2 linked regions of the Caenorhabditis elegans genome follow. The protein of the gene in region 2 purifies or fractionates together with the protein of the main gene of each other region. This does not show direct contact. Each region holds a gene or a part of one and is shown on either strand. Other genes may lie near its edges. The genes, in order: lig-1 and ctf-4.

Region 1 (4,927 bases), 150 kb from region 2:
TTAGAAATAAGTAATCCTAGACTGGTACTACATAGCCAAAGCATTTGAAGTATATGTAAATGAATTACAGGGAAATTTTGAATGTTTTCCACAAAATTGTGAGAAGGATACCTGTTACGATTCTTTCCCGATACGCTTTTTTGGATAGTAGCGGATTCATGGAATGACGTGACAAATTCACCTAGATTTGTTCAAAGTTTTAATTATTGCTTCAAAGTTTTAATTCTAAATAAACTTTTTGTTTGAAACTTAAGAATATTAATTGAATTGGTTTGAGGCATCAGAATGTCTTATGCTTTCTGCTCTCCCGTATTGAACTGCAAATCGAATTTTGCGGATGCGCACTACGTAAGTCAACGACACAACAGAAGAATGCACGAAGGAGAGAAGATGATTCAGGAGTACACAGACGTGGTAGAATGTAGATATACATTTGTCTTTTTAGTAAAGTTTTACTATGTGTTTGTTTCTAGGTATCTAGGTCAGCGTCTATCTCTTTCCTAAATAGAAGACTCAAAATCCAAAGTTCTGAATAAATCAGTTGAAAGTACAACACATTCGCACACATGAATGAGTTGTTTAAAATGACCGGCCGTGAACAAAAGAAAAAGTCGATGTGAGGTATTTACTTAGAAAATTAGGAAACATAGTACAAAAAGTAAATCATTGAATATGCAGAAATGTATCTCAGTATTAGTTGCTTGGCATTAGTCGGAATCGGAATCAATTGCAACGCGAGACCTCTTCTTTGCTGGCTGTTTCTTATTAGTTGAGGTTTCTTCATCAGACTCGTCAGAATCAGAAGGCAGCTTCTTCTTTCTGATCGGAGATGGAGATTCCACTTTAACGTCTTTTTCATTCTTCTTTGTCGATGATGAAAAGATGCTAGCAACTGGTCCTTTCTTTTTCTCTGCTTCTTTCTTTATTGGTGAACTTTTCACGGGCGATTTGTTAACTGGTGAAGATTTTACAGGCGGTTTCTGGAAATAATATATATAATTAGCGATAATGGTAATTTCAAAAACTAAAACCTTTTCGAATTTTTTCGGGGATACTGATTTAGGAGTCTCTTTCTTGATCTCCTCTTTCACTGGATTTTCTTTAGAACTTCCTTCAGATACATTGGTCATGTTCAACTCCTCCTCTTCATCTTCTTTTTCTTCAAATTCGTCATCCTCATCAACTGCATCCGCCTTTTCGATCTTCTGGTTGGCAAAAGCTTCTTGGTTTTTGTACATTTCAAGAACTTGCTCCGAAGATGTTGCATCGTCGGAATTTTTATCGTCCCGAATACGCAGGAAACGAGGAAATCTCAAAGAGATTCCTTTTCCATCATCCGTCAATCCACTTGCAGCTTTGTGACGCGGAGATATAGTAATATCGGCACATTTGACTTCGAAAACAAGATACGGAGAAAAAGTGTCATCTGGTTTAAGAGTGTGATCAAATTGATAATAAGAAGGAGATTTGTCAATTTTCTTGTCTTGTAGGATCTTGTATTGCTCGGCCAAATCTTCATCAGTGAAACCAGTTCCAATCTTGCATACACTTTCGTACTCTTCTGTAGTAGGATTGTAACATCCGAGAAGATATCCTCCATACACTCCAGTTCTCTTTCCAACTCCAGAATAAGCACCCATGACGACAAGATCCAACGTATCTCCTACTCCATCAACGTAATCTTTCTTCATTTTCAACCAGCTGTGGGAACGTCTTGAAATCTCATAAGTAGCTTCAGTGTCGAGAGTTTTGATCATGAGTCCTTCGCATTTATTTTGAACGGCTTCATCGAAGAAAGAGTTGATTTCATCAGTATCATTTGTATCTACGGAAGTTGCAAAATAGAAGCTTCCATCAATCTTTTTGAAGTTTGTTCGAAGAAGTTCTCTTCTTTTTCGGAGTGGTTTTCTCACGAGAGGCTCCCCATTGAAGTAGAGAAGATCGAAAAGAAAAACTACAACCTTGACTCCGTTATCATCAGTTGCATTTTTCCTTTTACGAGTCGACAAAACTTGGAACGGAAGAATTAAGCCAGCCTCATCGATAGCTACAACTTCAGCATCGACAATAAATGAAGTTACCCCATCCCCGATGCAGGATGAAATTTTTTCGATAATATCGGGGTACTTGGTAGTGTTGTTCTCTTGGTTTCGACTGTAGATGAAAATTTGCCCGTCTTCTCGTTTATGAATCTGGCCGCGTTCTCCGTCATATTTCCATTCACAGGTCATTGTCTGATTTCTGAATCGTCGCATAATTTCATCAATTCCCTTTGTAGGGTGAGCCAGCATAGGTTTCAGTGGAATTCCGGGTGAAAGTTTACATTTTTCGACAAGAGCTTCCACACCTTCAGTCAGTGCAACTTCGATCAGACGATTGTAGTTAGGGCATTCGCTGAAAATTAATTAGATGAATAATTTAATAAAGAAACAATTATTACCAATAGGCGGTCTTTACTCGCTTAACATTTGCATCTTTCAGAGAATCGAGTTTGTCACCACGAACCTTTTGATCAGTTATTTTCGAAAGAGTGAATGCATGTCCAAGTGCTGATAGAACACTTTGTTCACCGAGACCGATTCTCATTTTGCCGGCGAGCATTCGGACGAGGAATCGAGCCTCAATTCCTTGACATGCAATGAGGAGTGCACTAATGGCATCAACTTTCTTGTTCATAGCTGAAGTGCCACTGAGCTTTGCAATTTCGGTTAACTTGTTGAAAACAGTTGGAACAGTTAATGCTTTTGGAACAGCAAGCATTTTCTGATTGGATCTTGACTGTTGTGCGACAGTCCCAAGATCTCCTTTCGCGCGAAGATCTTCTTTAATTTTTCCCTCTGTACGTCCGGTCGCTTTAGCAACAGCCTTAAATTTTCTTTATAATTTAATATAGATTCAGTGGAATGCAAACCTTGATCAGCGAATTTTCAGCAACTCCAAGCTCGAGCCCTTCATACGATGGCCCGAGCTGATTAACTGACATGTACACGCACGCTGTTAAATCGTCGGGTGAAAAGTCCAGAACTTTGGTGAAAAATTGAGCCAATTCATCCACTTTCTTTTTTCCCGATAACTCTTCGATTTTCTCAAGGGTGAGAGCAAACTCCTTGTAAGGGACTCTGAAAATTTAGAAATAAAAAACAGTATGTTCCACAAAAAACTTACTTTGAACCCTTTGCCCATTCAACAGCGGCTTTGCCAGCTTTTGAGAAAAACATCTGAAACGATGAAGATGTGAAATTTACATTATTCGAGAAGAAAAGGTTTCGAAGATGAATAATTAATACGTGAAGGGATACAACGTAAAATACTTGGCAGTGTGCAAAATCAAGAGAATATCGAGCAAGTATTAAAAATAAAGTTGTATTAATCGAACCAGAAAACGATACATTTTGAACGGCGCGCGCACCAGATGCATTAGAGCACGATTGCGCGCACATGAGAGAGTGTGGAGACTAAGAGACATAGACAGTTAAAAACCGGCAAATCGTAAATGCTTCTTTCCTTGTGATTAAAGTCGACGTTATTAAAAATAGAAAAATGGGACATTGAAAATACCATCGTCTATTTGCTTTTTAAAAGATAGTGAGAGACCTATAATTAATAAAAAAAAGAATATTTAGACAACACATTTGAACCTACCAAAAGAAAAGTTCATTGCTACCGTACTCCAATGCCTGCACATCAAAAATACCGACTTTCAGCACGTCGCGGAAAATAACGGCATTCAGTTTCTTTCACGTGTTTTCAGCTCGACCATTCGGTGTAATTTGTGCAAACACCGTCACGCGCAAATGCAGACATTTTTGCACGCGCTGCGGTGAAATTCCTCTTGGCGAATTCAAATATTTTTTCCCGCCTTTTTTGAAAATTTTCGAGGCGTTAGTCGAGCTGAATACACGTGTCTTTCATCGATGTTCATTTTCTAACACTGTTTCAGAATGTCCCTGTCACAGAAAAAGGACCTTCTCGATGAACTACATAATGAGGCTGCAAAATGGTTGGCAGTCCTTCTCGATTTGTGTAAAAATGTAAAGGCGCCAGAGAACCAGCGAAACCTAGTCGCCTGGGCACAGAAGTGGATGGATGGGGCCGGAACACTCACTGACGAGCTTGAAGATTTTTCCATACGTGTTCACGTGGCAGAAACTGTGTCGGAGGTATAGACGAGAATGTGTTTAACAAACATTTGTTTCCTTTTTCAGATCAATCCTGCCGACAATGCTCCAGTTATGGAATGCCTTGTTGATGTCGTCAATGCAATAAATTCCATCACACAAAATATGTACAAAATTGTCAATAACGACCAGAACAAGCGATTGTTCATCGCGTAAGTTCAAAAAGTAAATAATTGGATTAAAAATATCATTTCAGAAAGTCAAATGCTCAAAGAAAGCATGCAAAGTTATTGAATGAGAAGGAAATTGTTATGAGACGACTGGAGCAATTGAAGAAAGAGCAGCTGAAGAAAACAATGGAATCCGAAAAAAAACTGAGAGATCTTCAAGCTGAAAATATCCGGCGAGATTTTCAAGAGCAGGCTCGTTCACAAGCTATGAGAGATCACGAAGGTATGAATTTCAGGTTGATTGATTTAATATTTATAAACTGTTTCAGTTTACCTTGCTTATGCGGAAGCCATTAATTCTGTAAACGTTACACCTCATTTCGAACATTTTGAGACCCCTGCGGAAGACATTTCTACACCCTTTGAATCGCCCAATCTTCCGAGAAAACGTCGCTCTCGCAGCCTTGGCCGGAAAGTTTTGGGATCTGTCAAGGTATAAAAATGGATTCCGATTTATTTTCATTCCTATTTAATTTTAGAAAACAATCCGCAGAAGCGTATCAGCTATTCACGACTACATCGATCATCATCACAAATAAGACGCCTAAATTTATTTCTTACAGATGATAACTCTATATT
Region 2 (6,222 bases):
AATTCAAACTTTTAGTTTGAAGCAAAATAGCCGACGAGAAGCGGTGGCAGCGGCTGTCGCGGGAGCTCAGAAAAGAAGCAAAGTGTCTACGTCTCATCAATTCATGCACTATTCGAGGGTCCCCTAGGCTTGCAGCACATACTCAACGACAAAAAAACGAGGGAAATTGATTTAGGTGGCACAATGACACGAAAGAAGAGCACACACAGACACACGCGAAGAGGGGAGAAGCATGGAAAAGGACCATTGGAAGAGATGGAAAGGTGGAGGAGGAGGGCGGGGAAAAGAAAGATAAAGAAAAGTTGGAGGAACTGGAGACCTTGAAGGAAGTGAAAGAGGAGGCTCTTCACTCTGGGCCGGCTCTTCCAACTCTTTCCTTTTCACTCTATTTCAGTTGAATTGAAAGTGAAACGAAAGACTATGAGACGCAGGTGGTAAAAGATAACTTTGAGCGTTCTTTGTGCACTTGGAAACATCGAAAACAATGACGAACAGATGTAAGTGACGTAGTCAAATTTATATGGTACAAATTGAATCAAAATAGTAACAAGCAAATTGCAATTAGTCTTGAGCAGCAGCAGTCAGTGCTTTTGCTTTCCATTCTTCTTTTTCATTTTTACTCAGTGCGCGGAACGTTTGAATGCAGAACTTTGAAAAATCAGCATTATCGCCATCAAAGTCAAACTCAAGGCTGCTTTTCGACTCCGTCAGCCACATCTCGTACGGACTCACACTGAAAATTTGATTTTTTTTTTGAAATAATAAATGAACCTTCTGAAAATTGTGACAATTCCTACCTTTTTTTCGCGGGCTCTTCGATTGGACAAAGTGTTTCTGCTTCATTTTCTTTTCCTTTCTGACCAAGATCCGAATTTTTTGATGACGTTTTCTTTTTCTTCTCATCAGACTGCTGAGTTCCACCGAAATTAAGTTTGGCCTGTTTACGAACAGTTTGATTCGTGCTTGTGACTGTCTCAGGTTCGCGAGCCCGTTTCCTTTGGTCATTTGATGTGCTTTCAAGTTGATCGAAGATAGATAATGATGCCTGCGAAGAAGCAGCTGAATCAATTTTAGAAGTATCAGAACCTTTGGCAAACGGATTTTTTGCAAGCCGTTCCAATGGTTGAACAGGTTGAGACATCATAGAGACGTCCATATTTAGATTATAACGAGAAGAAGATTCGTCTCCATCATTCGTTTGATCTTCATTCAATGATTCAACAGTTGGGCTAGGAGCCTTCTGTGCTTTTCTTGCTGCTAATGCAATCCGCTTTGTTGGCCAAATTTCAGTGTCATTGCAGCTACGATCATCATCATCTTCTGTCAGTCGACGTCCAATTTCAGCAACCTTCTCAGCCAAAGCCACTTTTTTGCATTTACTGGCGTAATTACACAAGCTCTGAATAGCTTTAGCGGATGCAGATGTTCCTCCAGACACTAGAGCAGCAACTTCAGCAGCTTGACCATCAGAATTGGTTTTTGTAAGCCAGGCAAACAGTTTTACAATAGTTTTGGTTAAAGTCTTTGCCTCTTCAACATGACTGTCACCATTACGTTCCAGTATTGCATCAGCTAACGATAGCTCTTTGAGGAACATTTCATGTTCCATTTCAGTTCGATGGCTTTCAGGTTGACAGAATGGTACTTTGAATTCTACAGTAGTCGGTGCATTGATTCCATTTACAAGGGGAGATCGGGATCCGCGACAATAGATGTATCGAAATTCTTTCACTGTGAGACCAATCGGGAAAATTGCGTCCGAAGGTGCTCTCAGAGCAGAAGAGCCTTGGAAAATAGGAATCCACAGACCTGGAGCGGATAGAACATGTACAGTGTATGCTGAATCCATCACGGCAAGTTTTCCTTGATTTGAATAAGCGATCCAGTCTAATTGCTCTCCAGTCTCAATAGGCACATCAATTCGGGAAACTGCTCCAGTTGAACCATGATGTCTGTTTTCTCGATACCATGATTTTGGATTTAAAGTATATTCTACAACTTCGAATCTCCATTGAGGTGTCTTTTTCTGTTCATAAAATTCCGATCCACACACCGAAGCGATTGCAAGTCGGTCTTCAAAGCAAGCAGCTGTGAGAATTGGTGCGAAATGTGTGAATATTTGTCGTTGAATTCCTCCAATAGTGAAAACTCGAATGTTTCGTTTTTTCGTGAGCACAACGACTTGAGTATTTGAGCAAAGCACATCAATACACCCGTCTCCACGAGGAAGAACCATCGACCACCGCTGACTGTCGAATGCTTGAATTGGAATTACATGTAGAAGACTAGTTCCTTTCTTTTCTGTTTTAGCAGGTTCATCAGTTTCAAGATCTTCAATGTCGTCGTTTGCTTTGTCAAGTTCTTTCTCTTTTTTCCGGCTCTCAACACTTGCCAGTGCAACAACCTTCAACGAAATATCCGCGAGTTCGTAGTTGATTTCAAAGTTGTCAATATGAATATCACCGTGGATGCTTTTATTGTGAAACTCGATCTGAAAAAAAAACGCTTGTTGTGAAGCAAGCTTATACAACTTACATCTATCGTTGAAACTTTATTTGCCTCGTTAACGTAGCTGCGAATAATTCCGAATCGATTATACTTCAGAAACCTTTGTGTTGCGTCGAGATCCATTGGAGAGCTGTTAGATACAAATCGTTCAGGAATAAGAACTTTTCGGGGAGCAGGTGGATCAGAATAGACTTGCGGGAGAGGATCATTCAAATTTCTGTCCGAGCTCATCGGTCGCATTTCCTCAGGTTCACCGAGTTTAAAACCGAATTCTTCAAGCCCTCCAAGATCTTGGTTCCCATAATTGAATTGTCGTTTGATAGCTCCAAGATCGGAAGACACTAAAATTAAAACATCAAGAGAAATTATATTTACAATCCCTCACTTCGGGTATCTTCATCTTCTTCAATGGCTTCTTCATTGAATAAACTATCTTTTTTGAGTGAAGTTCTATTCAAAAGGATTGAGTCGTCATCATCACTATCAACTGCAACATCTTCAGTTTTGTTTGAAACAGGCTTCTCGTTAGATGAATCATCTTTGAAGACATTAAACAAACAGATTCCTCTCTAAAATATTGTTACTTGAAAGTGCTCGAAAAGGGAAAAACTCACATTTGAATCAGCGACAATCAATTTTTTTGGGGAGAATGGAGAAAAAACAATAGAAGTGATGATAGTGATACCAGGTGCATTTCTCACGAATTTTTCACAACACACAATATCTCTGGAAAAAATGTATTATTTATCAGTTCACACATTTACCTAAATTTACAATTCATCACTATTCCAAACAGCAATTTGATTATCCATGGTTGAGGAGGCAAGATACTTCCCACACGGCGAAAGCGCAGTAACCGAAAAATCCACAGAAGCATGATCTTTCAAACGGTATACACCAGATTCTTCCCACCCATTTCGACGGTACGATTTCACACATCCTTTTGAAGGAACAAACAGCCATTGACCATCCTTTGACCATGAGAGTTGAATACGAGGTCGTGAAACACTGAAAAACAGGACATTGTTTAAAACCGAAGTATAACATGAAACACTAACTCAATTGTTTCAAATCTTGGGAAAACCTTGGTCAGTGTGTGTTTAATCGAGAATGAATCAATGTCTATAATAGTCACATTGCCATCCACAGTAGAAACGGCCACAAATTCATTTTTTGGATCCAGTTTGACACAAAGAACTTCAGCTTCAAGACTTCTCGTTTTCAGCTCTGCATCTAAATCTTTCATATTCGTGCATTTAACCGCATAATCGCTAGATCCTCCAATAACATTTTCCCTGTTTGCGTCGACCGTTGTGACATCCATTTGGAATTCAAGAGGATCAATAATATCTCCTGCTTCGAAATTGCCCTTTTTCGCCCGTCCCACCATTTGCTGCTCGGATCCAACAATGAAATCCACCTTGCGGTAACCAAAACAGATGTTTTCTCCATACCAAGCAATAGATGATGTTGTCGCATCGGGAATCTCGATTATTTCAGGTTTTTCATCTTGCAGCAACACGTTCTTATTGATCTTGAGTACATTTCGTTCAGCATCACAAACGTAAATCTGAAAAAAACAGGTAAATATGTTTATAAATCGTTTTAAATCCTACATTTTCAGTATCTTCTCCTGAAGCATCAATGCAGATAGTTTGAAGGCCGATATTCTCCAAATTTTTAACGTTAGTAAAGCTCATCTGAAAACAATGGAATTACGAGTGAAATTATTTATTTTCATCAAAAATAAATAAAATGCGAGCAAATTTTAAACCTGATTCTTGGCGCCGAAATGCGGTAAAAAAGTGTAATGCAACCATGGACCAGTGAACTGCGTAGAACCCCTATGTTTTGCGTACTGGCATTCTGCCAGGGGCACATACGCAGACTTTTCAGTGTATTTTTCCTCTGAAGAACACCACTCTTTTCAAGCGCCTCTTCTTTGAGCGTCGCTTCACTAGATTCTCCGACTCGTTGGTGACATCATGACCGGAGTAAGTTTATAAAATTAATTTCATTAAATTTGCAGTGCTGTTAAGAATAGTTAACGTGATTTCCGTTCGTTGCATTGAAAAATGATTAGGCCAAACCTTGAAATGACGAAATTTAACCAATTATTGATTTTTATTTTGCAGAAACTGTATGGAAACAAGGACAACTTCAGAACCCAAAAGGTTTTGATTGCTGCCAAGCTCGCCAACAAGACTGTCACCCTCGCCGGAGATGCTGCTCCAGCTGACAAGTTCCCACTTGGAGTTGTACGTTTTAATTTATTTAGATGTCAGTATTTGACGATCTGTGAACTATCAATGTGCAGAATTTCAGACCCCAGCATTTGAAGGAGATGCTCTTCTCTTCGGAGCTGAGTCGATCGGACTTCACCTGACTGGAACCTCAGCTAACGCCGAGACTGTCCAATGGCTTCAATTCGCAGAAGGTTATCTTCTTCCAGCTGTTCTCGGATACGTTCTTCCATCTGTGTCTGCAGCCAACTTTGACAAGAAGACTGTTGAACAATACAAGAATGAACTCAACGGACAACTCCAAGTACTCGATCGTGTTCTTGTTAAAAAGACCTACTTGGTTGGAGAACGTCTTTCTCTTGCCGACGTTTCCGTTGCTCTTGATCTTCTCCCAGCTTTCCAAGTACACTATGACCCAGATTATATGTATACACTCCTAATTTTCAGTATGTTCTTGATGCCAACGCTAGAAAGTCCATCGTCAACGTCACCCGTTGGTTCAGAACCGTTGTTAACCAGCCAGCTGTTAAGGAGGTTCTTGGAGAAGTTTCCCTTGCCTCATCGGTTGCTCAATTCAACCGTAAGTTTCTTTTTTGTTAGTGTGAATTTGTTTTGTTCCACTGCGAAGTCAGCAGACTAGTCAATCGATTAGTAGGCGTTACAGTGGTGGAATATCAAGATTTATGTACACCGTCTTTGCTTGAAACAGTTTTTGTTTTTGCTTTGTTCGGAACGTTTTTCATGGGACTGAGAGTTGGAAATTTAGCACTGGTCGTTTACAGGGTTGTCCTGCAGTCAATTCTAAGTTACCTTAGTTTATGTCCCACACATTTAAAAAGAAATCTAATTTTATAAAAAAACTTCTGATTTTGTATTCCCAGTTTAAATTTTATTCTTATTTTACAGAAGCCAAGTTCACTGAGCTCAGCGCTAAAGTCGCCAAGTCTGCTCCAAAGGCCGAGAAGCCAAAGAAAGAGGCCAAGCCAGCTGCTGCGGCTGCCCAGCCAGAGGACGATGAACCAAAGGAGGAGAAGAGCAAGGATCCATTCCAAGATATGCCAAAGGGAACATTCGTTCTTGACAATTTCAAGAGATCTTATTCCAACGAAGACACCGCTACCAAGGCTATCCCACACTTCTGGGAGAACTTCGATGCTGACAACTGGTCCATCTGGAAGTGCGAGTACAAATACCCAGAAGATCTCACTCTCGCCTTCATGAGCTGTAACCTTATCAATGGAATGTACCAAAGACTGGAGAAGTTGAAGAAGAATGCTTTCGCCTCCATGATTCTTTTCGGAACCGACAACAATTCGACCATCTCAGGAATCTGGGTGTGGAAGGGTGACAAGCTCGCCTTCGAACTCAGCCCAGACTGGCAGGTAGGACCATTTCCTCGATTTTGAATGTCGAAGAGTAGTCATTTGTATACGTGATACACTTATACAGAGTTACACTTTTCGTATATAAG

What was found.
Region 1: the proteins of ctf-4 (region 2) and lig-1 fractionate together in Caenorhabditis elegans (co-fractionation; one large-scale study listed by BioGRID). This does not show direct contact.

What each region holds. Positions count from the first base shown.
Region 1 is NC_003283.11:10,812,404-10,817,330, reverse strand, and holds lig-1 (DNA ligase 1), read right to left. Parts: upstream 3,219-4,927; coding exon 3,166-3,218; intron 3,120-3,165; coding exon 2,912-3,119; intron 2,866-2,911; coding exon 2,441-2,865; intron 2,395-2,440; coding exon 1,032-2,394; intron 981-1,031; coding exon 708-980; 3' UTR 613-707; downstream 1-612. Other genes in the region: C29A12.1 (uncharacterized protein), read left to right, coding at 3,942-4,160, 4,206-4,330, 4,375-4,571, 4,618-4,781, 4,828-4,887. UniProt on the Caenorhabditis elegans protein: DNA ligase that seals nicks in double-stranded DNA during DNA replication, DNA recombination and DNA repair.
Region 2 is NC_003283.11:10,961,332-10,967,553, forward strand, and holds ctf-4 (WDHD1/CFT4 second beta-propeller domain-containing protein), read right to left. Parts: upstream 4,209-6,222; coding exon 4,125-4,208; intron 4,079-4,124; coding exon 3,567-4,078; intron 3,517-3,566; coding exon 3,283-3,516; intron 3,235-3,282; coding exon 3,123-3,234; intron 3,078-3,122; coding exon 2,894-3,077; intron 2,850-2,893; coding exon 2,536-2,849; intron 2,492-2,535; coding exon 798-2,491; intron 734-797; coding exon 562-733; 3' UTR 503-561; downstream 1-502. Other genes in the region: eef-1G (putative elongation factor 1-gamma), read left to right, coding at 4,494-4,502, 4,644-4,766, 4,834-5,154, 5,199-5,331, 5,658-6,133.